Linked DNA regions of Oryctolagus cuniculus. The protein of the gene in region 2 purifies or fractionates together with the protein of the main gene of each other region. This does not show direct contact. Links are inferred from orthologs where the notes say so. Each region holds a gene or a part of one and is shown on either strand. Other genes may lie near its edges. The genes, in order: AP3S1 and AP3B1.

Evidence for each region.
Region 1: the proteins of AP3B1 (region 2) and AP3S1 fractionate together in Homo sapiens (co-fractionation; 5 studies listed by BioGRID and IntAct, counting the BioPlex papers as one, with this or other methods). This does not show direct contact. The link is inferred for Oryctolagus cuniculus from reciprocal best matches to the Homo sapiens genes AP3B1 and AP3S1.

The regions. Positions count from the first base shown.
Region 1 is NC_091437.1:6,068,849-6,083,937, forward strand, and holds part of AP3S1 (AP-3 complex subunit sigma-1), read left to right. Parts: intron 1-5,084; coding exon 5,085-5,176; intron 5,177-9,105; coding exon 9,106-9,217; intron 9,218-15,089. UniProt on the Homo sapiens protein: Part of the AP-3 complex, an adaptor-related complex which is not clathrin-associated. The complex is associated with the Golgi region as well as more peripheral structures.
Region 2 is NC_091445.1:2,317,713-2,332,901, forward strand, and holds the start of AP3B1 (AP-3 complex subunit beta-1), read right to left. Parts: upstream 6,668-15,189; 5' UTR 6,538-6,667; coding exon 6,410-6,537; intron 5,722-6,409; exon of another isoform or gene 5,703-5,721; intron 1-5,702. UniProt on the Homo sapiens protein: Subunit of non-clathrin- and clathrin-associated adaptor protein complex 3 (AP-3) that plays a role in protein sorting in the late-Golgi/trans-Golgi network (TGN) and/or endosomes.

The DNA.
Region 1 (15,089 bases), on a different chromosome or scaffold from region 2:
GTGACGATTTCAACAGTTTGCACCCACACAGACACACAAAGTATAAAGTAACTGTTTGAAGACTAGTTTTACCGTTAATTCTCATAGTACAACACATTAAGGACGGAGATCCTACATGGGGAGCAAGTGCACAGTTGTTGATCTGACAATTGACACTCTTGTTTACGGCGTCAGTAATCACCCGAGGCTCTTGTCATGAGTTGCCAAGGCTATGGAAGCCTCTTGAGTTCACAAACTCTGACCTTATTTAGACAAGGTCATAATCAAAGTGGAAGTTCTCTCCTCCCTTCAGAGAAAGGTCCCTCCTTTGATGGCTCCTTCTGTCCACTGGGATCTCACTCACAGAGATCTTTGATTTAGGTCATTTTTTTGCCACAGTGTCTTGGCTTTCCATGCCTGAAATACTCTCATCCAGCCCCTTACATTAAACGTATTCTTCCAGCTGTTCTGAAACACACAGCGCTACTGAGTGCCGCCTGTGGTCACCGTGCAGTAAGTGGGTTGCTTTACCTACTGCCTCATAGAGGAAGCAGCTCTGGTCTGTCGTGTTCGCTGATTTCCAGGATGAAGACCGCCATCACGACCCCCTGCTGTGCGGTCCCACAGTGGCAGAGTCCCACAGGATGGGGTTTAGAGCCGTGCTGGCCAGTGCCTCCTGCGTTCCACAGAGCCATTCCTGCGGTGCCACGGGCCAGAACTCGTTATTTTACACCTCTCTCTACTCTCACTTGCACAAGTACCTAAAAGCACCAGGTGCTGAGCCCTTGGCTGTTTTCTGACACCAATTGAGTGAGTTCTTGGATTTCTTCCTGTTCGGTTTAAATCTTCTGAGGTCTGCCTGATACTTTACGTTCATTTGGCCACTTGCCAGCTTCGTTTTCCTTGTCTTCCTCACCATGGTGGGCTTGTGGCTGAACAGCAGAGACCTGTGCTGGGTCTGAGCCGGAGCTTACTGAGCAGCACAAGTGGAGGCGTGCGGTCTGCTGTCTTCATGGAACAGAAGTCGTGCTTCAGCTGCGCCATCGTACTCCTTGTCTTTACTGCCTTTCGTGTAGGGAAACTGGTATCGGACGGTCTACGTGAACGTGGGTCCTGACGGCCAGCCTACAGACGTGTGCACCCAGCGCACCTGTGTTGGCCTCTCTATTCCAACCACTCTGCTGAGCATTTCCAATACAAAGCTTAGAATTCAGGTGCTTAACAAGGAAATGTGGAACATATTGTTGTAAGTGTGTAATGGTAGTGGAAACAGTCCTGAGGCAGTAGAAGGCCCCGGTGTTTCCTGACTGGGTCAGAAATGTTTTGACAGTGAGGCTACTCGAGCTGTGTGTTCGAAGGTGGTTGCTGAGGAAGGGAGGACGGAGGGTGTTTCGGGGGGAGTAGCGACTGAGGGGGTGAGAGGGGTGGGCGTGAGTATTCTCCCAGGTCAGAGTGGCTGAGCAGTGTTTGTCAGGGAAAGGGAGGTCTGGATTGGGTTTTGGAGGCTGTCTTATGGCATGGTAGGGAGCGTGTATGTTAGGTCAGATGGAATCTGGAGGTATTTAAGAAGGCGGGTGACAAATACTCCGTGTTCTTAAGGAATTCTGCTGACATGTGCTGGACAGTGGGGAACAGGGAGTCAGGTGACAGTGGCAGTATTTTGCTGGTGGTTCTAGTATTTTAAGTAAGATTAAGAATGAAAATCTGAATTGAGACTGTGGTTTTTGAATCCAGCTTTGTTCTTCTTGACATAGAATTAATGGCGACTGAATCAGTGAGGGAAGTAAAAGAAAAGGAGTCATCAAGAGTTTTCTGTGATGGATGCTGCTGCCGTTAACTGAGATTAGAAATACAGTGACAATGAGTTTTAGGAAAAATGGAATGTTTTTAGTCTTTATTATGAGCATTTTTATATAATTGCGTAGAATACTGGTGGAGATGACTATTTAAAAGTGGAAATCTTGAGCCGCTCAGAAGAGTGTCCGTTTCTTTCAGGCAGGAGGTTAAAGCAGGAAACCACCAGGAAGATAATAACCAAGGACAGCATCTGAGAGGGGGAGGTGGGCGGGGACGTGGGGCACACGTAGGAAGGCAGAGGCAGCTGTCTTTGTGTCCCCCTTCCCTAGCAGTGTTGTTAGGAAATGCTGAGTGGGTTCTCCTAAGCTACAGGAAATACTGACTAACTGCTGTGTCCACTTCCCCTTATGAAGAAAACTGCTAATGGCCTTTGAAGTCTCTCTGTATCCTCCTTTCTGTTCTGCCCCTCCTTCGCTCAGGTAAAACCACCGTCCGAGGTTATTTTTAAAGTGGACTAGAGAGACCTGAGAAGCGCTAGCATCCTCAAAGCTGGTGACTTCCAGATGCTTGTGGTGGCGTGGGCTGAGCCAGAGCTGAGAGCAGCGAAGCTGTTCAGGTCCCCAACCTGGAGGGGCAGCATTGCAGTCGCGTGAGCCATCACCACTGCCTCCCAGGAGGTGCATTAGAAAGCTGGAGTCAGGGCCGGCGCCAGCTGCTCGGATGCTACACCCAGTGACACAGCTCCCCGTCTGAAGTCTTTAAATCATTCTCTTGTTCTTGTTTCACTACTTGATTTTTGGCGCTAAACAGTTTTATTGTTTTTTTGCATGTTTTTTGAGCTTTTTTAAATTTTTTTTTTTTTTTGACAGGCAGAGTTAGACAGTGAGAGAGAGAGAGAGACAGAGAGAAAGGTCTTCCTTCCGTTGCTTCACTCCCCAAATGGCCGCTTCGGCCGGCGCTGCGCTGATCCAAAGCCGGGAGCCAGGTGCTTCCTCCTGGTCTCCCATGCGGGTGCAGGGCCCAAGCACTTGGGCCATCCTCCACTGCCTTCCCAGGCCACAGTAGAGAGCTGGACTGGAAGAGGAGCAACCGGGACAGAGTCCGGCGCCCCAACCGGGACTAGAACCCAGTGTGCTGGCCCCACAGGCGGAGGATTAGCCTATTGGGCCGCGGTGCCGGCCAGTTTTTAAATATTAAAACAGTGTGACATTACTAGAATCAACTCACTTCAGTCATGATGTGTTAACTTTTTGAAAAATAAATTCTGGGAGTGGGAGTTTGGCACAGTGGTTAAACCTCTATGTGGGATTCCCACATCCTATATCCACGTGCCTGGGTTTGAGTCCTGACATTGCTGTCCTTTCTAGCTTACAGTTAATGCACACCCTGGAGACAGCAGGTGGTAACCAAGAAATTGGGTACCTGCATCCATATTGAATTCCTAGCTTCAGGGCCGGCGCCGCGGCTCAATAGGCTAATCCTCCGCCTAGCGGCGCCGGCACACCGGGTTCTAGTCCCGGTCGGGGCGCCGGATTCTGTCCCGGTTGCCCCTCTTCCAGGCCAGCCCTCTGCTGTGGCCAGGGAGTGCAGTGGAGGATGGCCCAGGTGCTTGGGCCCTGCACCCCATGGGAGACCAGGAAAAGCACCTGGCTCCTGGCTCCTGCCATCGGATCAGCGCGGTGCGCCGGCCGCAGCGCGCCGGCCGCGGCAGCCATTGGAGGGTGAACCAACGGCAAAGGAAGACCTTTCTCTCTGTCTCTCTCTCTCACTGTCCACTCTGCCTGTCAAAAAAAAAAAAATAAATAAAAAAAAAAAAAAATAAAAAAAAAATAAAAAGAATTCCTAGCTTCAGCCTGGCCCGGTTCTGGCTCTTGTGGGCATTGGGGAGGCCAACCAGTAATAAGTCATCCTTCGCTTTGTCTGTGTGTGTGTGTGTGTGTGTCTATCTTTCACCTGCTTTTCAAATAAATAAATTCTAAAAATTGTATCTCTTCATTGGTGACATTGGCCTATAATTTTAATTTCTGGTACTACCTTGTCTAGTTTGGTATGTTACACTTGCCCTTATGAAATGAATTTGGCATCCTTTTTAATTTCTTTCAAAGTGTTTTCTAGTTTTTCATTATAGAAATCCTATACATACTTGATTAAATTTTTACTGGGTATTATTTTTCCAGTTATTATTATTTTAAATTTTTTTCTGGTTATTATCCTTTTTGGATATGCACAATGCAGTTGTTCCTTTTCTCCACATCAGGTTTTTGAGAATTGTACACGTTTAAGGGTGTAATTAGCTTAGAAGGCTTCCCTGTGTGAGTGTATCACAACATCCGTTCTGTGACTGCGGGCTGTCTTGGGTGTTTGCAGCTTGCTGTCGCAGCAGTACTTCTGTGGACATTCTCCCGTGTCTCGCTGGTCTGAGGGTGCACAGCTTACTCTGTGTGTGTGTCATTGCCGGTACTCAGTAGTTGTTGACCTTCAGAAATCCTGGTTTCGTATGGTTTAGGAGCGAAAGTGCTGGTTAATAAAGTTTTTCCCCAAGTGATGGTGACCACTGGCCCGCACAGTGCTAGGGGGTGGGTGTGCTTGGTGCCACACCTTTGTCCACAGCTGATATTGCCACTGACCAGTCCGGTGTGGTGGAGCCGTCTCCTCGTTGTTCCTGCTGATGAGATTCAGCGACTCTTCCTTTGTTTACAGGCCATGATGTTTCCCCTCTGGTGAAGAGTTTGCTCAGCTTTCTGTTGCATTGTTTGTGAAGTTGACCTTTTTTGCTGGAATATGAATTGTTTGGTTGTTCTAGTAAATACTTATTGAACCAGTTCTTGGTTTAGGTTGTGCTTGTATAAAGATGGGTAAGATGGATGGCCTCGTACTTCAGTCTGTGTTTAATAATGCTTATGTTCAGTTGGATACGCTACACTTTGTGATCATTCTTCCATTCAAATATAGATTAGCTACATGAATTATTTCTAACTCTGCCTCTGTTTCAGTTTACTGTGTTGTGAAACAATGGGCTTTGACTAGTTAATATATAGTTTCCCTTTTTCTAGTAAATGTAATATATGTGTTTTTTTTCCTTGTTGGTTTTTGCAATTTAGAACTCAGTTATTTTTATCATAGTGGTAAACGTCAAAGCATATCCCCCTTTTTTCATTAACAGTGTTGGGTTTTAAGTTGGTTCTCTGAGGACCCCTCACTCACTTAGATGGATTTCCCAGAGATTAATCCCTGTTATTTTTAAAATTGTTAAAGTTCTGTTAAACCTGTACACTCAGTCCTAATGTATGTGACTTGTTCTCCCTCAGAGTGAAGACACACAGCAGCAGATCATCAGGGAGACCTTCCACTTGGTCTCTAAGAGGGATGAGAACGTCTGTAATTTCCTGGAAGGAGGATTGTAAGTAAAGCATTTCATAGACGCTTCTGATTTTTGGACTGGATAATTAAAGTGTGTACTGTTACAGCAGTTCAGTGCAAACGTTTTCTAGTTTTGATTAGTTGAATTAGGTGAGATAATTGCTACCCATGTTAGCTATTAATCTAACTTAAAGAATTTCTTTTGAAGCTGTGCAGTCTGTTTTTCTTTTTAAAAATCTTATAAGGGCATTTTATTTAAAATTAATATGTTCATATTGGAAACATTCAAATGTTCCAGGGAAGAGTAAAATATTCAATAAGGGTCTCCCTCTTCCAGCCTTTGTTCTTCGTCCTGGTTTTACATTTCCTTCCAGAAAACAGATTTTGCACCGACCAGCATTTGGAAGTGTAACCTTTTTACTTCTGAGATCACACTGTGTATGCTCACTTGTTGTTGTTTGGTTTACTTCATCTTAACACTTAGATTTGTAAAAATAATCATTTTATTTTTTGAAAGGCAGGGAGAGAGATCTCCCATCTTCTGATTCACTCCCCAAATGCCTGCAGCAGCCAGAGCTGGCCTAGGCCAAAGCCAGGAGCCAGGAATTCTGTCTAAGTCTCCCAGCATGAGTGACAGGAACCCAGGTACTTGAGCTCCTGATAGTTCCACTGCTGCCCTCCATGGTGTGCGCTAGCAGGCAGCTGGAACTCGGAGCAGAGCTGGAGCTGTCACCACACGCTCTGATGCAGGACACAGGTGTCCCAAGCATTGCTTTAACCGTGGTGCCAAGTGCCTGCCCCTGTGTAATGTTTTAACAAGTTCTGCCTGTGAGTACGTCTAAGGCAGCCCTTACTCTTTTTTAAGACTAAAGAGTATTCCTTAGGGTAAATGTCCATAAAAATTTGGATTGTATCTTTTATTATTACAAGTAAAACTGAGGTTTATTTATTTATTTTTGACAGGCAGAGTTAGACAGTGAAAGAGAGAGAGACAGAGAGAAAGGTCTTCCTTCCGTTGGTTCACCCCCCAAATGGCCGCTACGGCTGGCGTGCTGCGCCGATCCGATGGCAGGAGCCAGGTGCTTCTCCTGGTCTCCCATGGGGTGCAGGGCCCAAACACTTGGGCCATCCTCCACTGCCTTCCCGGTCCACAGCAGAGAGCTGGCCTGGAAGAGGAGCAACCGGGACAGAACCAGCGCCCCAACCGGGACTAGAACCCAGTGTGCCGGCTCTGCAGGTGGAGGATTAGCCTAGTGAGCCTTGGCGCTGGCCCTGAAGTTTATTCTTCTAACGTTTCTGTCTTTGCACTATGTACAGATGAGAATTCAGCTAAAAGATTTTTTCTATTAACATTTCCATTACTTATAATTAGCTTGCAAAATATATAAGTAAATACTTCTGAATTAATGGATTCCATGAAAGTAGTTTAATTCTAAATGTTTTCATAAATGTTGCCTCTTCTTTTATATAATTAATATACTTAATAAGATAGTTCCTTATTGATATTTAAAAATAAACTTCAGCTGAGATTTGTAAATAGTCACAGATTAGAGAAATTTGTATTTTTCTGTATTTTGTGTATGGTGCATGTTATGAAAACTAGGTCAGATAGCAGGGAATCCATTTTTACCTGACTTTAAGTTACTTTTTATCATGTGTAGTTCGTTGTGTTTCTTAAGTTCTATCCTACTGCACTTAAATGTATGGTTCACACTTAAAATAGGTATAAATTTTGTTACCAATGCAGGCTTCTGTTTTAATAGTCGAGACAAATGTACCTGCTTCTGACTTTGAATTTCACTTGTACCTAATTCTCTTAAGTGTCTGTTCGGGTTTAATAGTGTTTGCCTTTACTATCACTTCTTGTCATCCCAGCCTCTTAATTTCTTCCCTCCCAGGAAATGTGTCTCCTAGCACAGTATATTGCATGCAGTAGAAAAGCAAGATGGAGCTAGCTAGAGTACTGTTTAAACCAGAAATCAGGGCCTGGAGTTATGATTATTCTTTCCCAACTTTTTATTTTATTTTATTTTTTTTAGTTTTTTTTTTTTAGTTTTTTGAAAGGCAGAGTGACTGAGGGAGAGGAAGAAAGCAAGGAGAGAGAGTTCCTCTGTCTGCTGACCCAGTGCCCTGGGTACCCTCACCCGCCTGGCCAGGCCAAAGCTGGAAGCCAGGAACTCCCTCTTGGTACTTGGAGGGCAGGAACCCAAGAACGTGGGTCCTTATCTGTTGCCTCCCGGGTATGCACATTATCAGGAAACTGGATCAGTAGCAAGGCAGGATTCCATCGCAGGCAAACACCTGCCCTCCAACCTTTTGAAAAGTAGAAAATAGATATTGCATCTTAGTCAGTCTCAGTGTTATCACCATCAAGTTTGTGTCCCTGGTCCAGTCACTTTAATTCTTGAAATTCAGTTTTCTCCACTAAGATAAACTATTTGGACTGAAGTTTATGGTTTTATATGGTGACTTACATTCCGTACAAGAGTTTGGGGTAGTGTTATACTATAATTTCAAGATAAAAATTCTTAAATACTTTTTAAAATTTTATTTGAGAGACAAAAGATCCACTGGTTTTCTCCTCAAAGACTTACAGTGGCTGGGGCTAGGCTGGGCTGGGCTGAAGCTAGGATCCAGGAATTCACTCCAGGGACCCAATTACTTTATCCATGCTTGCAGCATCCTAGAGTCTGTGTTAGGGAAAAGGTACCCTTGCTGTGGTAGTATTTTTGCTGTCTTCTGTTAATGTTAATGGCTGTGTTGGAACAGCTTTCAGAGGCCAGGTTTCCTCCTTTTAGAGGAAAAACTCAAGGTCGTTGCTGAATTGCTGTTTGTGAAAGCGCTGTCTGTACTCTTTGTATCTCTTTAGAGAAACAGTTGCAATCATAGCCCATAAACATGATTTCAGAATCTTTGAAGTGCATGTGTATACTTTTAAGTTAAATACCTTTCCCAAAAAAGTATCTAACATAGTAGGAACTTTGGTTTCTTGTTAGGGGACACAGATGTAGTGCATACACAGAGAAGGTGGGAGCTCAGGGGTTAACTTGACTCAAATGAGAAATGATGTCTAATTCCATATGAATGTTTGATTAGCTTTGACAACATTTAACGTTACTTTCTAAATTGTTAGTGTGTAGGGGTCTTTTGAGAAGGCAAGCTCATAAACTTAAAAAGTGTGAAAGCTTAACTATATTTAAATTCCAGTCAATATAAATAAAAGTATTTGATGGAAGAACTGAGTAATAACTTAATTCTCTTGCATTTGTACTCAAAACAGCATATGTTTTTGTAGGCGACCTAGATGGTAAATCTGTCCCAAATTTAAGAACTTTCATTCTTTTTTTTTCCTAGTTCATAATCAGTCTTAAGCTGTGTAACTTACTGTGACCTGTGGAGTTAAATCTAGTAAGCACTTGCAGACGCCCTCTGTCCTAATCTCTGCTTCTTCTGACCTCACTGTCACTAATCTCTCCTTGTCTGCTGGCCTGCCTTTTCTTCTACTCCTTCTCGCTGCAGTGCCCTTTTGTTAGTTGCACCTGGCGCTGACATGCTCTTCTCTGAATCCCTGAGGCCCACGGCACTCTCCTCATCTCCCTCACCTCCCGGCTGAGGAGGCCAGCCCCTCTGGAGGCCTCGCCCTGCTTGGGTTCTCTGTGTGGCACCTTCCACTGACAATTTTCTTGTTAGTTGCTCTGTATCCATCGTCAGTGCTTGACACATAGAATTAATCACTGAATAGTTTAACGAATGAGTGAACTAAAATTAAGCTTTTTACTTTGTCTCTAAAGAAAATAGCTGTCTTAATTTGCTTAGTCTCAGAAGTAAGTTCTCTTGAATGCTTTGCCACTAAATGTTATGTTTGGTTAATAAAAGATTTTTAAACACATTGTCAGTTTGCTTGAGCTAATGAAAATGTTCTGTGTTTTGTTCCCTATAACATTTCACTTGTTTTGTTTTGTCATTTAGATTAATTGGAGGATCTGACAACAAACTGATTTATAGACATTATGCAACGTTATATTTTGTCTTCTGTGTGGATTCTTCAGAAAGTGAACTTGGCATTTTAGATCTAATTCAAGTAAGTTAACATTTGCCTCTTACTGTCTTAAATAACAGTTTGGCATTTATATTTTTAAAAACTTACATTTTCTAAATTTTCTAAAGTGATGTTTTGTTTGGTAAGAAAGTGTCCACAGTAGATACGGGGTGGATCAAAGAGGGACAGGGGATGTAGAACAAGTAGATGGGGGCCGGCGCTGTGGCTCACTTGGTTAATCCTCCTCCTGTGGCGACGGCACCCCATATGGGCGCCGGAGTCTAGTCCCGGTTGCCCCTCTTCCAGTCCAGCTCTCTGCTGTGGCCCGGGAGGGCAGTGGAGGATGGCCCAAGTGCTTGGGCCCTGCACTCGCATGGGAGACCTGGATGAAGCTCCTGGCTCCTGGCTTCGGATCGGCGCAGTGCCGGCCGTAGCAGCCATTTGGGGGGTGAACCAATGGGAGAGAGACCTTTTTCTCTCTGTCTCTCTCACTGTCTAACTCTGTCAAAAAAAAAAAAAGTAGACGAATTTAATCTGATTTAGACCAGTTATGACTAATTCCATCTGTTCCCTTCTCTTTCTTCGTGTTTCCTGAAAACCTTTCGTGACGTCCTGGAACTCCAGGGCTGTGATGAGCAGACTCCTCCTTGTCCTTAGCCTCTTCCATGCTGCTCCACTTTGATCCACGTTAAATCCTGCCTTCTCTGTTACACCACTTCCGGCACTCTCAAGAAGTAGCTCTTTGCCCTCTTGTTCTTTTTGGTTTTCACTGGTTTTTCCAGAACGGGTTGTCTCCTGAAACATCTCCACATTTTGTCTCATGTTGTCAGCTCTAACTCCTACCCATCTGCTTGTGGTTCTCTCTCTACCTTCGATCCTTTGGCGGTTTCGTCAGGAAATCTTATCCAGCTTGGAAGCCGAAAACTTGACCTTTATGATTAGCAACGTAAGCATTAGCCACAGTAAATAAAAAAATAGCACATGAGCCAAAGTACAAGCATTTGAAGAGGGGCACACACTGTGGGTTGAGTTATGAGTGAGGAACCCTGACCTTAGAGAATTGAACTCTTCTATAATTAGCACTGTTTCTTTTTTTTTTTTTTTAAGATTTTAATTTTTTTAAATTTGTAGTTTTTGGCAGATTCAGTGTAGTTTGCAGATGCAATTCTAGGATTATAATGCTATTCCCCTCCTCCCTCACCCCTCCCACTCTGTCTCTCCTACTCTCCTCCCTCTCCCTTTCTTTCTTCACTTTACTGGTTTTTGAGATAACATTTCAAATTTACATTACAGTACACTGTCTTTGCTTCCTGGGGGAAAGTAAGCCTATCCATAGTGTGCTTGCAAGGAGAGCCCAGAGCAGAGACCACCATGCCTCTGCTCACAGTCTGTGCAGGAATACCCCACCCGTGGAGAATTGTCGCCCACTGGACTTTGGCTCTTAGTTTACCGACATTCACTGCCCTGTTGGAATTCTTGGTGATTTCATCGTCGATGTATGTAATTCTCTCTATCCTGACGTTTTTAGGCCTGCATCTCCTCTCCTGTGAGTTTTGCTCTCTACCCCTTCTCACTGCTCATTTCCACACCGTGCTTTTAATCCAACTGAGTTGCCTCCCTATTCTTATCTTCACACCTTCCTTCCTTTGTGTACCACTTCTTTTTGTATTATTTGTGGGGAGCAACTCGGACTAGACTGTTACTGGAATTAAGACTTATTCTATGCATCTGCTCTCCCACAATATGGCGCTGAGAAGGGAGTAACAACTACACAGCTGCCTCTCGCCAACTTGAGTGATGACCTGCAGGAGCTGATCCTGCTCCTGATTGGAGGAGAGCAGCGTACTCGGCGTGTGGGTAGCAGAGTTGGGATTGGTGGAAGAGGACTATAAAGGAGGAGAGAGACAACATGCACCAGGGAACACCTGAGAAGCACCTGTGCAGCCCCCGAGAGAGCCGGCCGGCGGTGTGCCGCTCCCCTGCGGAAGTGGGGAAAGTGGCAGGGGGGCCTGCCCCTCCACGGAGGTGGAAGGGTCGGTAGCCAACCCGGGAAGAACCAGCAGCAAACCCGGGGAGGGCCGAGCAGACAAAAGAACAGCGCAGGGTCCTGTGTCTTTCCTCCGCGAAGAGGGGGAGTGACAATTATTCTCTCTATTACTATTATTACTTTCTATTACTATTATTATTATTATTACTATTACTATTATTATTCTTTGTATTATTCTTTCTATTACTCCCAACAGATTTTTGGACCTGTTGGGATCCACAGTTTCCAAGTGAATGTCTTGTCTTTCCTGATGTCTGACTTTGCTTTTCCGGCTTAAATGCCATCGTCACTTGTGATTCATGATTGTGACCTTGTATACGCTTATCTCCTTGCCTGTGCCGGCACATACGAAGATACCAGTGGAAGAAACTGTCACCATACTTGCTGCTTTCACTTTAAATTCATGATCTCTACCTTAGCCGGTCCTTAATGGTACCTGGAAGTCGTATTTCCCTGGTCCATGTACTTTCCATCTGCCTAGATGACTTATGCATACATTGTCTCAGTCCTTTAGCACTTAGCACCTTGCTTGCTTCCTGGAGAAACAAATCAATCTGGAGAGACTGTCCACGGCCCCCATGGGTGCATCTGTGCCCTGAGATCTGGAGAGACTTTGCACGGCCCCCATGGGTGCATCTGTGTCTCTGAGATCTGGGGACTTTGCACGGCCCCCATGGGTGCATCTGTGTCTCTGAGGTCTGGGGACTTTGCACGGCCCCCATGGGTGCATCCATGTCTCTGAGATCTGGAGACTGCATGGCCCCCATGGGTGCATCCGTGTCTCTGAGATCTGGAGAGACTTTGCACGGCCCCCATGGGTGCATTTGTGCTCTGAGATCTGGAGAGACTGTCTAACGGCCCCCATGGGTGCATCTGTGTCTCTGAGATCTGGGGACTTTGCACGGCCCCCATGGGTGCATCTGTGTCTCTGAGATCTGGGGACTGTGCACGGCCCCCATGGGTGCATCTGTGCTCTGAGGGTGCACTCACGTGCTCCTAGCTCAGGCCGCCTGTGCGCTCACACGTTCGTTTCTGCTTCCTCATTGCTGCAGCAGCCCTTCTTTCTTTTGTGTCATCATTTTTTTTCCTGTCTTCTAGATCATTCCAAGCAGCCTACAGTAGTTTCCCACCTTAAAAAAAAAATCCCGTCTGTGCTTCCCTCTGCAGCCACGCCTCGTTTCTCTCCCTTCCTTTACAGAACGCTTTTGTAGAACGTGTAGAGCTATCTGAAACTTTGTTCTGGTGTTCTCTCCCCAGTCCATTCCAGGCAGGCTTTCCGCCCTTCTCTTCATGAGTCCAGGGTCCTGTCAGCCTCCTGTGTTTGATAAGGATTGTTGACCTCTCCTCTCTGCCGTCTTCACTTGGCTTCTAGAACTTCCCTGCCTGGCTTCTGTCCCATCTCTTTAGTGACTGCATTTTTCCCGCTGATCTGTCCTACCTGTAAATGATCACGCCTCCGGGTTCCATCCTCGCTCAGCTGCCTTGTTTTTGACTCCATTCATCTCCGTGCTCTGACCCAAGTGTCATCTGTACACTAAAGATGCAGACTGGAGTCCTCAGCTCAGACCTTTCCCCTTAGCTCCTCACCAGGTCACCCCATTGATTCGTGGGCGTCTCCACTTGGGTGTCTGATACAGACCTAGAACTTAATGTGTCCTGAGCGAAGACCTGTGCCTCCCACGTCGGCTAAAGACAGCTTCACTTCTGCGGTGGAACCTGCTGGTGCCTGCTATGTGACCTTGCCTCTCGTTCTCTGCCCACCACGTCTGCTGCCTCAGCACTTCCTGTTGGATATTTGGCATCTGACCACTTTTTTTTAAGGATTTATTCATTTATTTGAAAGGCAGAGTTATGGGGGGGGGGGGGGAGGAACAGAGAGAGACCTTCCATCCTTTGTTCACTCTCCAAATGGTCGCAATGGCCGGAACTGGGCCATAGCCAAGCCAGGAGCCAGGAGCTTCTTCCGGGTCTCCCATGTAGGTGCAGGGGCCAAGCTCTTGAGCCATCTTTTGCTTCTTTTCCCAGGCGCGTTAGCAGAGAGCTGGAATGGAAGTGGAGTAGCCAGCTCTCAAACCGGCGTCCATACGGGATGCTGGCACTGTAGACGGCAGCTTTACCCACTATGCCACAGCACCAGCCCCTTCTAACCACTTTTGTACCCTCTCTCCTGTTGCTGCTGCCCTGTTCATGGCCACCGTCAACTCTTGGCCTGGTTACTGCAGCCATTTCTTGGCTGGTCTCTCCTTGTGCTGTATTTTTTCTCTTTGGTCTGTCTCAGTGCAGTGGCTGGAGTGATGCTGTTAAAATGTGCCGCATCTTACATTTTTCCGTTCTGAACTCTTGAGTGGCTTCCGTTTTCACTCAGAGTAAAAGCAGAATTCCTTACAAAAGATCCCTGAGAAGCCCCATGCGGTCTTGACTGTCGTTGGCCACACCCGTTACTTATCTTCTCTTGTGCCCTTTGCTTAGCCTCCTTGCCGTTCCTCGGGTATACCCAGCACACGTGTGCCTCAGAGCCTTGGTCCATGCTGATCCTGCACCTGCAGCGTTCGTCCATCCAACAGTGTTCTCCACCTTGCCTTGAAAATGCTCCTTCTCTTGGATATTTTCTAACTCTTTCACCCTAGTATTTCCTCCATAGCACTTATCACCATCTAATATACTATGTAGTTAATTTAGTTCATCTTATGTATTATCATTTGCCCTTATAAGAATGTTGGATCTATGAGGTGCAGGATTTTTGTTTCTTTTGCTGATTTATCCTAGTGTATAGTCTGACACCTTACAGATAACAAGTTCTCATTAGATAATTGTTGAATGAATGGTTTAATGCCTCGTGTTCGGCACTCTATGTAAAGTAACTGACAATAAAGCTCAAAGGTTAATTGGGAGAAGAATTCGCTAGGAAAATAAAATGTAGTCGTAGATTTTGTTTCTTTTAATCTGAGTGCTGCTCACATTGGTGTGTTTGAGAATTAAATCTATAATTATAGAAACCTAGAGTTTTTCTACTTGATATATACAGTATTTCTATTGAAAGGTAAAAAATACTCAGCAAAAATTAGTTACCACAGACGGTATTGATTAAGATTATCATGAGGGGATACACTGAGATGTTTTCTTTCTGGAATGTGCAAAAAAGTGAATGTGGTATAGGTGAGCTGTAAGCTGCGTGTGAAAAGGAAGTTTTCTTTGTCGAGAATGTTTTAATGTTTTTGAAATCAGGAGGACACACGGTTTGAGTTCCAGTTAGTGTTCAGAGTAACGAGAAGCTAGCAAGCAGAAAAGTAATACATTTTGAGTGAGTGTCTAATATGAGAAGGAACAGACTGAGGCTTTAGATGCTGAAAATGTCTAATAACAAAAGAGAAACAGAGGCTGGGGAGCAAATGGAGCTGCTCCAGTGCCCCTCGCTCCACGCCCGGTGCTGAAGCTGGTGAGGAGGAGCCCGGCTTGGCCCTGCACCAGCTGTCACCGTGGCTCCGTCCTCCGCAGGTGTTCGGGTTTCTTTGAACATTGGTGGTGGTGAGGAAATGACACTTTCACAATAAACAGGTATGTTCAAATATAATTATAGGGTCAAATACAGATTTGTCATATTTAAAGCTCTAAGACTTCAAAGAAATTTGAGTTTGAGGTAGATCCTCCTGGAGACTGCTAGAGAAGAACTGTGAAACTGTCTTGTTTTCCCAAAGGCTTGTCTAGCAAAGAGAAGCTCTGTTTTTCTTACATGGATTGATAGTGTGTGTTGCGTTACCTTCTAAGTTTGATCCTGATTCTGTGTCTCGGTTTATGCCACAGGGGAGTAGCTGGTTCATTTCTATTTTACAGGCACTTGGTATTTTTAGAGAAGAAGGGTTTTCATGA
Region 2 (15,189 bases):
CTAAAGATGAAGAGGGGGCCAGTGCTGTAACACAGCAGGTTAAACCTCCGTCTGCAGCGTCATCATCTAATACGGGCACCGGTTCAAGTTCTGACTACTCCACTTCCTATGCAGCTCCCTGCTGATGCACCTGGGGAAGCAGCAGAGATGGCCCAAGTGCTTGGGCCCCCGCACCCACCTGAGACCCAGAAGAAGCTCTGGGCTCCTTGTTTTGGCCTGGCCCAGCCCCAGGCCACTGCAGCTACTTGGGGAGTGAACCAGCAGATGAAAGATCTCTATCTCTCTCTCCCCCGCCCCCAAATCTGCCCTTCAATAAACAAACAATAAATCTTAAAAAAAAAAAAAAAAAAGACTAAGGATGGTGACCTTTGAAGCAGGACAGTTTCTGTCAGCAAACAAAAATGATCTCACTGACTAGAAACTGTTCACTGTAGATCTACAAAACCTTTCCTGCTGATACGCTGAGGAAGTCTCCCCTAAACACAGAAAGCAGTGTTACTCATAAAAGCATGAAATACAGGAGAATCACTTCCTTCTCCACTGTTCTACTTTCTTCTCTTTACTTCACATTTTAAATTTGGACCTCAGCCAATTTGTTTTTGTCAGCAGTTCATTTTAAACACAAATGCAATGCTGTCCAATTATTTCACTACAATATATTCATCGTTCTGTAAGCAGTGAAAAAGAACATTTCAACCAACTGCTGTCTGCCTTTTTTGTTTAATCATTCAGTGTTAGCAACTGCTAAATCCTGAATGTTTTTTAAAACTAACACATCTCAGGCTGGCGCTGCAGCTCACTAGGCTAATCCTCCGCCTTGCGGTGCCGGCACACCGGGTTCTAGTCCCGGTCGGGGCGCCGGATTCTGTCCCGGTTGCCCACTTCCAGTCCAGCTCTCTGCTGTGGCCTGGGAAAGCAGAAGATGGCCCAAGTGCTTGGGCCCTGCACCCCATGGGAGACCAGGAAAAGCACCTGGCTCCTAGCTCCTGCCATCGGATCAGCGCGGTGCGCCGGCCGCAGCGGCCATTGGAGGGTGAACCAACGGCAAAGGAAGACCTTTCTCTCTGTCTCTCTCTCACTGTCCACCCTGCCTGTCAAAAAAAAAAAAAAAAAAAAAACTAACACATCTCGGGACTGGCACTACAGCGCAGCAGGTAAACCCACCACTTGTGACTCCAGCATCCTATGAGTGCCGGTTCATGTACCAGATGCTCCTCTTCCGATCCAACTCCCTGCTAATGTGCCTAGGAAAGCAGCAGAGAATGACGAAGTGCTTGGGCCCTGCACCCCATGGGAGACCCAGAAGAAGTACCTGGCTCCTGACTTCGGGTTTGCCCAGCTCTGGCCATTGAGGCCATTTGGGGAGTGAACCAGCAGACTGAAGATCAATATCTCTGTCTCTGTAATTCAGCCTTTCAAATGAGTAATATTTTTTTTAAATTGTCTTACATTTGTGATTTAATCATAAGGTTTGAAATTTAATTATTTCAGATTTCTAAATTTCAGTGATTTCAAAAAATTACAAATCCTTTATCAAGAAATGAGTATTTACTTAGCTGAGTATTTAAGATAAAATGCATAAACCAGAAATGACCTTCCTCCAAGAAGAAATGCAAGGAAAGTAAATAAAATGGAACACTTCTACTATTTGATGGAAAGTAGGACACTGCTTACAGGCAGTATTTCATCAAATTTTTGCTCAATGTAATGAAATCTTATTTGAAGCACATGGCAAGAAGTACATTATACGTGGAACCTTACTGCACAGGAAATGGCAGTCCTTAACTTTTGAGTATCCGGGCCTTTGAAACTAACAGTCCTATTTACATGAAGACAAAACAGCTACAGATGCTCCTCAACTTATGATGGGGTTATACCCCAGTAAACTCGTGGGAAGTGGAAAATATCACAGCACATTAAATACACCCAACTAACCAAACATCACAGCTTAGCTTAGCTGCATCTACCTTAAATATGCCCAGAGCACGTACAGTGGCCTACAGTAAATCTAATACAACACCTATTTTATAAAGAAGTATTCAAGACCTCACAATTTATTGAATACTCTACTCAAAGTGAGAAACAAGTTGTAGGGGTTGCACACACCTAAAGCCGAGAATTATAAAATCATATAAATGTGCTGGGACCACTTCAGTTCATCTAGGTAGGGACATACTGCAGGTACCAACGCTCCACTTCCTCTCCTGTTAACAACCCTCTTGTAACAAACGCAGCACTACTCAGTGAAAGATAATGAAACACTGAAATTGCCCACCTGTAAAGTGCTCTTTGTACATGACAAAGTGGAATCCAACTTACATCTATGGCAAGCAAATATACTGTGCAGACCTAGATCTAGTGAACATAAACTTGCAGCCACTTGGGGAGTGAACCAGCAGATTAAAGATTTCTCTCTATATATAACTCTGCCTTTCAAATAAATAAATAAATCTTTAAAAACTGAAAAAACCACCAGAAATATAATGAAGACCCTAATTAAACCACACCCCACAGCAGAGCGCGGGGGTTCAATCTCTGGCTCCCGACTCGGCTTTCCGCTGCGCTGACCCTAAGCAGCAGCAGTGACGGTCTGGTGTTTGGGATTCTGTCACTCAAGTGGGAGACCTGAACTGTGGTCCTGGCTGCCACACTGAGCCCTGGCCCAGCCCCAGCTGTTATACATCAGTGATTAAGAACTTCCTTTCTCTGTCTCTCCCCTTCAATGAATTTTTTAATTAGTATTAATAAAAACAAAAAAATCACAAAAAACATACTGATACACAATGACTCTTTGAGATATTTCAAAAACAATGGTAAAGGGTGGACTTTAGGCCTAGTGGTTAAGATGCCTGTCGGAACACCCCGTCCCACGTGATAGTATCCGGGTTCACATCATGGCTCCACTCCAAATTCCAGTTTCCTGCTGACGTGCATCCTGAGAGGCAGCAGGTGATAGCTGGGCCCTTGCCGTCCACACAGGAGGGCTGGACTGAGTTCCCGGCTCCTGGTTCCGGCCTGGCACGGTCTCAGCAGAGGGCACTTGGCCAGTGAAGCAGCAGATGGGATGGCAGCAGCTCTCTGTTTCTCTCTACTCCATCTCTGCCTCTGAAACAATTCTCTTTTTAATGTTTAAAAATAACAATGTTAGTATCAATACTTGCAATGTTTTTAAGATTTTATTTATTTATTTGAGAGGCAGAACCACAGAGAGAGGAAGAGACAGAGAAAGGTCCTCCACCCGCTGGTTCACTCCCCAAATGGCTGCAAAGGCCAGAGCCGAAGCCAGGAGCCTCCTCGGGGTCTCGTAACTGGGTGCAGGGCCACAAGCACTCAGGCCATCTTCCACTGTTCGCCCAGGCCACAAGCACACATGTGAAGAGGAGTAGCCAGGACACAAACCGGCACCCACATGGGAAGCCAGCATCACAGGCAGAGGCCTAGCCCTGCTATTCCATGGCGCTAGCCCCTCAATATTTATAAATTAATAACATCTGGAACTGGTCCAGATGTCATTGATTCTATTTTTAGTAAGTTATATATGTAAATATAATTTATTTTAGTAAATTATATTTTTAAAAAGATTTATTTATTTACTTGAAAGGCAGAGTTACAGAGAGGGAAAGACAGAGAGATCTTCTATCTGCTGGTTCACTCCCCAGATGGCCACAACAGCTGGAGCTGGGCCAATCTGAAGCCAGTAGCTTCTTCTGGGTCTCCTACCTGGGTGACAAGGACCCAAGCACTTGGGCCATCTTCGCTGCTTTTCCAGGAACATTAGCAGGGAACTGGACCGGAAGTGGAGCAGCCGGGACACAAACCAGTGCCCATATGAGATGCTGATGCCACACCAAGCTATACCCACTACTCCAGAGCACTGGCCCCAGTAAATTATATTTTAAGACTATCACTCTACATGGGTTGATCTCAGTCAACTTCACTTCAACATACTTGCTTCAAAGATAGAAAAAGTGGTGGAGATAAGAGTTGCTTAACTGTACCGACCACAGATACTAGTTATCTTCCAATGTGTGCCACTGAGAAACACTATTAAAGGCTAAAGCAGTAATGTGATCTAATTTTCATGGCTGATATTGTTAAGTTGACAGTAAATAAAATTCAACTTTAAAAGAAAAACAAATTTGGTTTTACCACTGCAATGCAAAGACATTGATTTAACATACCCACTGCAGGAAAGCCCAGAGTCCTCTGTCCAAAGAGGTGAATCTAAACAAATGCAAAGTACACTCCACCTTTGGCAGAGTAAAATGCCACCTTTCTATGTATTTCAAGGGACACTACAAAGAAGCCACTGGCTGCTAACCTCTGAATTAAATCCAAGGGCTCTCTTGCACACTCCTTCTACTTCCCTGCACTGTTCAAGTCCCCACACAGTCCACCACTGCCTCCTCTAACTTTCCCCTTAGCTTCCTTCTTCAAAACAACAAGCTTCCTCTGGTTTCCTACCTCCCTGAGCTCAGTCTTTTCCTTCTTCTTCCATTCACATCTCACATGCAGTGTTCCTTAGGATTTTGTCTAACCTGCCTTCTCCTCTAACAAGAAAAGTTCTCCCAGGGCCACTGCATCCATTCCCAAGTTTATACATTATCTGCTAATCTAAATGTCGATCTCCAAATCTCTCTCAACACCATTTTCTTTTGCAATTCTCCTTTTTTCTACACACTCTGCACTCTCCATTCCCTCCACGTGCCAAACACCTGCCCAAAATGTCATCAACTCTCCTCAACAGTGCTGGTTAACATTCTGGATCAGAAATTACTTTCAAGTACACCGTCAGACCAGGCAACCATCACACCTGGGCCAGAAATGTGGAAACCAAAGTTTGAAAAGAACAAGCAACTTGCACAAGGAAATACTAGCACAAGCATAAAACAATAACTCACATACAGGTCTTCTGACACTAGCCCTGGGGCCTTTTCCAATACTCCACAATGCTCTCAAAAGTAAAGATCTCTACGGCCGGCGCCGCGGCTCACTAGGCTAATCCTCCACCTGCAGCACCGGCACACTGGGTTCTAGTCCCGGTCGGGGTGCCGGATTCTGTCCCGGTTGCCCCTCTTCCAGGCCAGCTCTCTGCTGTGGCCCGGGAGTGCAGTGGAGGATGGCCCAAGTGCTGATGCATTCAGGAGCGCGGAGGAAGGCGGCCCGAGCAGCTGGGCCCTGCCAGCCACGTGAGAGACCTCGGTGAAGCTCCTGGCTCTGCTTCAGACTGCCCCGCGAGGCAGCTGCAACCAGGGAACAAGCAGAGAGGAGCTATTTCCCCATCTCTCTCTCCTCCCTCCGTCTCTCTCTGTCCTCCCTCCTCCCTGTAACTCTTTCAGAATAAAATAAACCTTACCAAAAAAAAAAAAAAAAAACCTGCCATCTCTAAGTGCAGAATGACACCCTGGGAGGCGGCCAACGGTCAAGCACTCGGGTCCCTGCGACCCCTACGTGGCAGACCTGCACTGAGCGCTCAGCTCCCGGCTTCGGCCTGCCCAGGCCTGGCTGCTGAGGGCATGGGGGGAGTGAGCCGGCAGACGGAAGACCTCTCCCCAAGCTCGCTGGCTCCCCGCGCCCTTCCAAGACAATTAAACATAAACTTTTACTCAGTGCACGGCAGGAAAAACGAACCCTGTTACTCCTCCCAGCGTCTCTGACTCGGGGTGGGGTCCACCTGAGGGGGTCCGGACCCCTGAACTCACTTTGCACGTTACGCCGCGGCGGCGGCCCGCAGCGCCTCCTCGCCCCGGCGAGGGGTCCGGCACAGGTCGCAGGCGCAGCCCCGCCGGGCCCGACCGAGCCCAGGGCGCGCCCCCCGCCGCAGCGGAGTTTAACCCGCGCCAGAAGGGCGCCCCGGCGGCCCGCACCGAGCTCAGCCGCGCTCCGGCGCCCCGCAACCGCCCCGCGCCCCGTACCCCCGCCTGCCCCGCACCCCCGCGCCCCGCACCCCGCACCCACGCCTGCCCCGCACCCACGCGACCCCACCTGCCCCGCACCCCCGCACCCCCGCGCCCCGCAACCGCCCCGCGCCCCGCACCCCCGCGCCCCGCACCCACGCCTGCCCCGCACCCCCGCGCCCCGCACCCCCGCCTGCCCCGCACCCCCGCGCCCCGCCTGCCCCGCACCCACGCGCCCCCGCCTGCCCCGCACCCCCGCGCCCCGCAACCGCCCCGCGCCCCGCACCCCCGCGCCCCGCACCCCCGCGCCCCGCACCCACGCCTGCCCCGCACCCCCGCACGCCGCACCCCCGCACCCCCGCGCCCCGCACCCCGCACCCCCGCGCCCCGCACCCACGCCTGCCCCGCACCCCCGCACCCCCGCACCCCGCACCCCCGCGCCCCGCACCCCCGCGCCCCCGCACCCCGCGTCCCGCACCCACGCCTGCCCCGCACCCCCGCCTGCCCCTCACTTCTTCAAGTCGCTGCTGAAGAGGCCGAAGGCGCCGGAGGGGGACATGGTCGCGGCCGCCTCCTGCCCCAGCTCCGCCGTCTCTCCCGCTCCCGCCTGCTCATTGTAAGCAAGACTGTTGCTCGCCATGGCCGCGGGCCGGGCGGCCGACGCCTCGGGGCCGCGGGGGTCGCGCGAGGGGCTCCGGCCGGCAGGACGCGGACCGCGGCTCCCCGAGCGCGGCGGGCTGCGGGCGCTTCCGGGCTCGTCACGGCTGCCGGCGGCCGCGCATGCGCAGAGCGGGCGCGCGGCGGATTCCGGGCGCCGGCTGCGGGGCGGGGCGCAGGCTGAGGGGCGGGGCGCAGGCTGTGGGGCGGGGCGCAGGCTGCGGGGCGGGCCGGGGGCGGGGCGCAGGCTGCGGGGCGGGGCGCAGGCTGTGGGGCGGGGCGCAGGCTGCGGGGCGGGCCGGGGGCGGGGCGCAGGCTGCGGGGCGGGCCGGCTGGGCCCGGTGGCCGCGAGGTCCGAGGTCCTAGTTCCTGGATCCCGGGTTCTGCGGGCTCAGCTACGACCATTGGGGCCATCTTGGGAGTGAACCAGCAGGTGGAGGGTCTGTCTCTCTCTCTCTCTCTCTCTCTCTCTCTCCCTCCCTCCCTCCCTCCCCCTTTTGGGTCTCCTCGAGGGTGAAGGGGCGCAAACACTTAGGCCACCCTCTGCTGCTTTCCCAGGCACATTAGCAGGGAGCGCGATGGGAAGTGGAGCAGCCGGGACTCGAACCAGTGCCCTTAGGGGATGCCGGCATTGCAGACGGTGGCTTAACCTACGCCACAGCACCGGCCCCACCTTTTCTCCTTTTCTAGCAGAGTATAGGTTATAAAAATCAACTCAAAACATTGCAGGAAACCTGAATGTGTTGCAGAACAAGAACACGTTGCGACCCTAGTTGGAGGAGTAGGAATAGACCCTCCAGACCTGTGTCCGTTTGCCCCACACACAGAAAGCCAGTCGCCGACACGGGTGAGTGGAAGAAGGAGGTCGCTATCTGCAATGTGCAGAGCGTGGAGACGCCAGACAGCCGCAGCCGAATTCCCGGGCTCCCCGCGAGGTCAACGGGGACGTTTCTCATAGACTGAGGCTGAGGGGTGCGTGTTCAGCCCCGTCCAGGCTCCTGGCCGGCCGTGACCTTCCCTGATGCTGGCTTTTCCGGGAATGTTTAGGGCGGCTGAGTGGGCCTCCGTGAGTCTGGGGACTACATGAAGGTGGTAGTCACTCCAGTCCCGGCCTGAATTCCTCTGAAGAGACCTTGTGAGAGGGTGTGGATACTGATATTGATCGTGTGACATCAGTTACTGGAGACTTCTCCTGGACCAGTTGCACCACTGCCTGGATTCCCTGAGTTCCTTTAGCCATGCTAAGGCTGGAGGCTGGGTCCTGGTGATTTCTTGCCTGTTTTAGGGACGCTTGAATAGCAGTTCCATTTCAGTGGAAAACACTGCAGAACAAACTCCCACCAGAAGTGGACGCGTGGCTTCAGTAATGGGCTTCCTGGGATGCCTGTGTTGCATACTGGAGTGCGTGGGTTTGAGTCCCAGATTCCCGCTGGGTGCATCACCTGGGAGACAGCAGGATGGCTACAGCGGAGGCTCCCTGCCACCCACAGTGGAGGTCCGTATCAACTGCCTCACTGCTGGCTTTGATCTGGCCCAGCCCTGAGGGTTGCAGACATTGGAGAAGTGGGGAGATATCTTTCTCTTCCTTTCAAATAAATAATAAAAATTATTATTTTTAAAACTCTACTGCTAAAAGGGCACTCAACCAAGGCGGTCTAATGGACCTATAAGGAGTTTCCTGTTTTTGTTACATTGAACTATTACTGGATTTTTGAAAAGGAAAAGACAAAACGCCTCCAAATTGATTTTGTAGGATTAGCATGCTCATACCTAAGCCTCACTTTTTTAAAATACAAAAATATACTAAGAGACTAAATACTAAACAAACACTAGATGAAAAGCAAGGGGCCAGTGCCGTGGTGTAGTAGGCTATCTAACTCTCCTTCTCTCACTCCACCTTTCAAATAAATTCATCTTTTTAAAAACATAATAAATATTGGAAATGTTGGGGCCAGTGCCGTGGCACAGTAGGTTAATCCTCCACCTGCTGCGTCAGCACCCCATATGGATGCCAGGTCTAGTCCCGGCTGCTCCACTTCCAGTCCAGCTCCCTGCTGATACGCCTGGGAAAGCAGCAGAGGATGGCCCAAGTCCTTGGGCTCCTGTACCTGCATGGGAGACTGGGAAAAAGCACCTGGCTCCTGGCTTCGGATCAGCGAGCTCCGGCTGTTACAACCATTTTGGGAGTGAACCAACGGAGGGAAGAGCTTTCTCTCCGTCTCTCCTTCTGTCTGTAAACTCTACCTTTCAAATAAATAAATAAAAATCTTTTTTAAAAAAAAAGAAAATGTATTTAATAATATTTCATCAGCTCTTCTAATTTAACGAAGTATCTAGTAACTGAGAAATAAGAGTAAATACATATATTCATGGTGTCCATGGAGGGGATTAGTTGAGACCCCCCCCCCACCAAAAGTTGTACACACTCATGTCCCTCATATAAAATGGTGTGTTTTTCACATATTACCCATGCACATCCTCTCTTATACTTTAAGTAACCTGTTGATTGCTTATATCACCTAATACAATGTAAACGTTATATAAATCATTGCTTTAATATGTGCTTTGGGAATAATGACAAAAAATTTATTTAATATTTTCAATCTGTATTGGCAGAATCTGAAGATACAGAAGCATAAGTATGGATGTCTTGTTATATTTTACCATTATTATGTATACATACATGGGTTTTTGTACATATTATGTTAAAAATACTTCCACAAAATATTCACAGTAAAACATACACCTTATCTCACAGAGAAACATGAAAAGCATTCCAACTAAAGTCAAAAAAGGACAAATATGCCTATTGCACAATTACCATTTAATACTGCTCCATAGATTCTAGCAATGCAATAAGAAAAGAAAAATGAAAGAGAAAATCAACCATGAGAAGAAGTTGATATTTATAGAGTGTATAATTGTCCCACCGGAAAATCTCAAAGAAAACTATTAGGCCTCTAAGTGGATTTAGCAGATTGCTACCCGGAAAATCTAACAGCTCTCCTACACACCCTAGCATCTATTAGAAATATAATCCTGGGCCGGCGCCGCGGCTCACTAGGCTATTCCTCTGCCTTGCGGCGCCAGCACACCGGGTTCTAGTCCCGGTCGGGGCGCCAGATTCTGTCCTGGTTGCCCCTCTTCCAGGCCAGCTCTCTGCTGTGGCCCGGGAGTGCAGTGGAGGATGGCCCAAGTGCTTGGGCCCTGCACCCCATGGGAGACCAGGAGAAGCACCTGGCTCCTGCCATCGGATCAGTGCGGTGCGCCGGCCGTAGCGGCCATTGGAGGGTGAACCAGCGGCAAAGGAAGACCTTTCTCTCTGTCTCTCTCTCCCACTGTCCACTCTGCCTGTCAAAAAAATAAATAAATAAAATAAAAATTAAAAAAAAGAAACATAATCCTAAAAGAGTCTTCTTCCACAGAAAAATAAATGCCTAAGACTTAACTTGAGAAAAATCTGTAACATTCTACCAAAAGGTAGGGATTAGGGAAAGACCTAAAAAATGATTCAGTGTTTCTGAAAAGAAACATTCAATGAATCTGTATGTTTACTGTTACTTTCTGTCGCTCCCCCTCTTCGTGGAGGAACGACACAGGACCCTGCGCTGTTCTTTCGTCTGCTCGGCCCTCCCCGGGTTTGCTGCTGGTTCTTCCCGGGTTGGCTACTATCCCTTCCACCTCCGTGGAAGGGCAGTTCCCCCTGGCCACATTCCCCACTTCCGCAGGGGAGCGGCACACCGCCGGCCGGTTCTCTCGGGGGCTGCACGGGTTCCCTTAGATGTTCCCCATAGATGTTCCCGATGCATGCCGTCTCTCTCCTCCTTTATAGTCCTCCTCCGCCAATCCCAACTCGGCTGCCCACACGCCGAGTACGCTGCTCTCCTCCAATCAGGAGCAAGTCCTACAGTTTATCAGTTGAACTGGAGGCAGCTGTGCGGAAGCTGTTTACTTCTCTCCCAGCGCCATATTGTGGGAGAGCAGATGCATAGAATAAGTCCTAATTTGAGTAACTTAGTCTAGTCCGGATTGCTCCCCACAGATCCCCCTTTCTTTTTATTTTTTAGCGTTGATACGCGCCTGTCTTCGGTGTCCCGCGGCGCACACTCTGCTCTACTTGCTAGAGTTGCCACAGGCTCTTACAAGTCCTATCCATCAGGCAAACCGAATCCGGGTCCTCTCTTCGCCATGTTGTGAGGAGGTTTTTAGGCGCTGATGCGTGCCTGTGTTCGGTGCCCTGCAGCGCATGCTCTGCTCTGCTAGAACTGCCTGCAGGTGTTTACAAAACCTATCAGGCAAACCGAATCCAAGCCTTCTCATTGCCTTATTGTGGGGGAGACTTATTAGTGTTGGTTCGTGCCTATCTTCGGTGACCTGCAGCTCATACTCTGGTCGAGCTTTGCTGGCGCTTACCGCCTTAAATCAGGCAGACCGAATCCAAGCCTCCTAATTGTTGCATTGTGGGGAAGCTTTACTGATGTTAATTCGTGCCTGTCTTCGGTGACCTGCGGCTAGCCGCCCAGGTGCTCATCACCTCACTAATCAGGCAGACCGAATCCAAGCCTTCTAATTGGCATGTTGAGGGGAGGCCTTATTTCTCTCTATTTCTCTATCTCCGGGCATTCCTATTTCTCCCATTTTACTTCTATCTGCCAACATTCCCATTTCTCTCACTCCACTTCCAAACTTCTGTTTCTCTTATCCCCGCAGCTTCCCGCTGCCCGCCCCGAGGCTACTTCTCGGCGGCTTCCCAGCTGAGCTGCTTCAGCCCGCGCCTCTTTCATCTGCGCAGCTTCCCGGCTTTGCGCGGCTTGGCTTTGCGCGCTCCGCGGTCTCCACGCTTAACCCTTTCGCGTCTGAACCACGGCCTACGCCAGCCCCGTTCCCTATCTATTCACGCCCCGTGCTCTCTCTGCACGCGGTGGCTTCCACGAGTAACACAGCGTAGCTTGCGTCTCCACCACTAGCATTCAATCCAAGTTCCCCGGACTAGCCTGGCGAATTCAACCCAGCGTACGTCTCCGCCCCACGGTTTGGCTTCCCGTCCTTTGCTCCCCGGGCTAATCAGACGGATCCCAATCTGGCTTACGTCTCAGCTTCTGGTTTCAACTTTTCGCCCCCTATTCCCGGGCTAACTTGAGAATCCCAAAGTGGCTTTCGTGTCCGCCTTGGCCTGCCCCCCGCGGCTTCAATTTCCCTAACATTTTTCTCTACCCGGTATGTTTCCCCAAACTTTCCTCCAACAATATTCCTCCCTCATTTCTCCTGGCCTCTCCCCACAGTCTGCGTCCGAGTCTGTTTGTTCTAGCTTTCACTTTCGCTTTCGACCTTAGAGATTTCTCCCAGCTTCCCCCCGTAGTCCGTATCCGAGTCTATGCCTAGGCTTTCAATAGCTTCTTCCGGCTCCTTTTCGTCCGGCTTTTCCCTAGGCTGTTTGCTAGTCTCTCTCTCCGGTATTTTCCTGCTTCTTCCCGTTTCTTCCCTCCTAAGTTTCATATCCGTCCTAGGTTTCCTATCCGAGCTAGGTTTCCTATCCGAATCATTTCTTCCCTCCTAAGTTTCATATCCGTCCTAGGTTTCCTATCCGAGTCACGTTTCCTATCCGAGTCACGGCACCATTATGTCGCTCCCCCTCTTCGTGGAGGAACGACACAGGACCCTGCGCTGTTCTTTCGTCTGCTCGGCCCTCCCCGGGTTTGCTGCTGGTTCTTCCCGGGTTGGCTACTATCCCTTCCACCTCCGTGGAAGGGCAGTTCCCCCTGGCCACATTCCCCACTTCCGCAGGGGAGCGGCACACCGCCGGCCGGTTCTCTCGGGGGCTGCACGGGTTCCCTTAGATGTTCCCCATAGATGTTCCCGATGCATGCCGTCTCTCTCCTCCTTTATAGTCCTCCTCCGCCAATCCCAACTCGGCTGCCCACACGCCGAGTACGCTGCTCTCCTCCAATCAGGAGCAAGTCCTACAGTTTATCAGTTGAACTGGAGGCAGCTGTGCGGAAGCTGTTTACTTCTCTCCCAGCGCCATATTGTGGGAGAGCAGATGCATAGAATAAGTCCTAATTTGAGTAACTTAGTCTAGTCCGGATTGCTCCCCACAACTTTCAGTCAAAATCTCCGAGTTCATCTGGAAGAACAGAGGCAGCCAGTAACAGTGAAATTGGGGGAGGCGGAATGATGAAGGACTTACCCAGCCACGATTTGCATGTGCTATAGAGTTATTATAACGCATACGTTTGGTGTTAAAGCTGGATATTGTAGATTAAGCTTCCATTTGCAATGCCAGCATCCACTATCAGAGCACTGATTCGAGTCCCAGCTGCTCTGCTACTGATCCTGCTCCCTGCTAATGCACCTGGGAAAGCAGCAGAAGATGGCCCACATACTTGGGCTCCTATCACCCATGTGGGAGTCCCGTATGGAGTTCCAGGCTCCTGGCTTCAGCCTGGCCCAGGCTTGACTGTTGAGGTCATTTGTGAAGTGAACAAACTAGCAGGTGAAAAAATCTCTCTCTCTCCATCTTTCTCTCTGTCTTTGTCACTCTGCCTTTCAAATAAATAAAATCAATCTTAAAAACAAGTTTGGTGGCCAGCGCCGCGGCTCACTCAGCTAATCCTCCGTCTTGCTGCGCCGGCACACCGGGTTCTAGTCCCGGTCGGGACGCCGGATTCTGTCCCGGTTGCCCCTCTTCCAGGCCAGCTCTCTGCTGTGGCCCGGGAGTGTAGTGGAGGATGGCCCAAGTGCTTGGGCCCTGCAACCCATGGGAGACCAGGAGAAGCACCTGGCTCCTGCCTTCGGATCAGCGCAGCACGCCGGCTGCGGCAGCCATTGGAGGGTGAACCAACGGCAAAGGAAGACCTTTTTCTCTGTCTCTCTCTCTCTCTCACTGTCCACTCTGCCTGTCAAAAAAAAAAAAAAAAAAAACCACAAGTTTGGTATTGACTCATATAGGTGAAGAAATTCATTGGTGGAATGGACAGAAACAGATGCAGCTATATGTGGGTGTTGACAATCTGACAAAGTTGTCATTTCCAATGAGTTAGGAAACAATGTATCCTTCAGTAAACACTGCAGGCAATAGTTACCTATGGCAGAACACAGAGCTGGCTTTCTATGTTGGTTTCCTATGAGTTCAGCAACAATGACCTCAAGGTTAATGGTTTGAGGCAACACAAAATGTATCCTGTTGCAGTTCTGGAATCCGGAAATTTGAAATCAAGGCACACAGTCCAAGGTACAGCTCCACTGCTCCTCCAGAGGCTCCGGGGGGTGGGGAGGTCCCTGCCATCTTCGCTGCTACACCACCTGCAGCTCACAGCTCACCTCGGCTCACAGCCCTGCCCTCTCCAAGCAGCCGCGTAACATCCTCACCGGCTCTGTCTTCTCATGGCCTCCTCGGCTCTGCCGCAGACCTCCTTCTGCCTGCCTCTTAAAGGGGGCACTGTGGGGGCCAGCGTTGTGGCACAGCAGGTTAAGCTGCCATCTACAGTGCCAGCATCCCATATGGGCACCTGTTCTAGTCCTGGCTGCTACACTTCCAATCCAGCTCCCTGCTAATGGTGGGGGGAAGCAGCAGAGGATGACCCAAATCCTTGGGTCCCTGCACCTGTGTAGGTGAGCCAGTGGATGGAAGATCTCTCCACTGTTTCACTGTTTCTTTCTTTCTTTTTTTTTCTTTTTTTTTTTTTTTTTTTGACAGGCAGAGTGGACAGTGAGAGAGAGAGACAGAGAGAAAGGTCTTCCTTTGCCGTTGGTTCACCCTCCAATGGCCGCCGCGGCCAGCGTGCTGCGCTGATCCGAAGGCAGGAGCCAGGTGCTTCTCCTGGTCTCCCATGGGGTGCAGGGCCCAAGCACTTGGGCCATCCTCCACTGCACTCCCGGGCCACAGCAGAGAGCTGGCCTGGAAGAGGGGCAACCGGGACAGAATCCGGCGCCCCGACCGGGACTAGAACCCGGTGTGCCGGCGCCGCAAGGCAGAAGATTAGCCTACTGAGCCGTGGCGCCGGCTCTCCCACTGTTTCTTCCTCTCTCTGTAACTCTGACTTCCAAATAAATAAATAACTCGTTATTTTAATAAAGAAGTTTAAATGACCTCAGTCATGGAAACAAAGGCTTAAGATATACAAAATTATCTTATTATTTACATTTTCCCTCATATTCCTAATAGTAAATTCTTGTATTCAGTGTGAGTTTTGGAGCAGTTTACCATTTAACAGTTAGGTCGTCTGCTTAGCACAGCGAAGCAGCTCTGACCTTAGGGTTACTGGCAGTGTTGCTGGGTGTTCCCTGGGGCTCACACACAGGTGCACAGAACACAGCCCTCCAGGGCTGTTCTTTCCACCTGTCTGTGCAACAGAAAGAGTAGTCCATCAGACCAGGTATGAACCTTGACTCCATCACCAGCTAGCTGTGTGAAGACGCAGGTAAATTGTTAACCTTTCTGAGACTCTAAGGGACAAAGAATGTACTCAAAGATATAAACATTGACTACTCACAGGTCACCATTCTCATTTAAAAATAAATTCTTCAAAAGGAAAATATCACATTCAGAATATTTTTGTAGATAGAAATGAACTTTCTGTTTCTATGTTTAAAAAAAAGTGTGTTTGACTCAGCAGTTAAGATATGTGCAACCCGT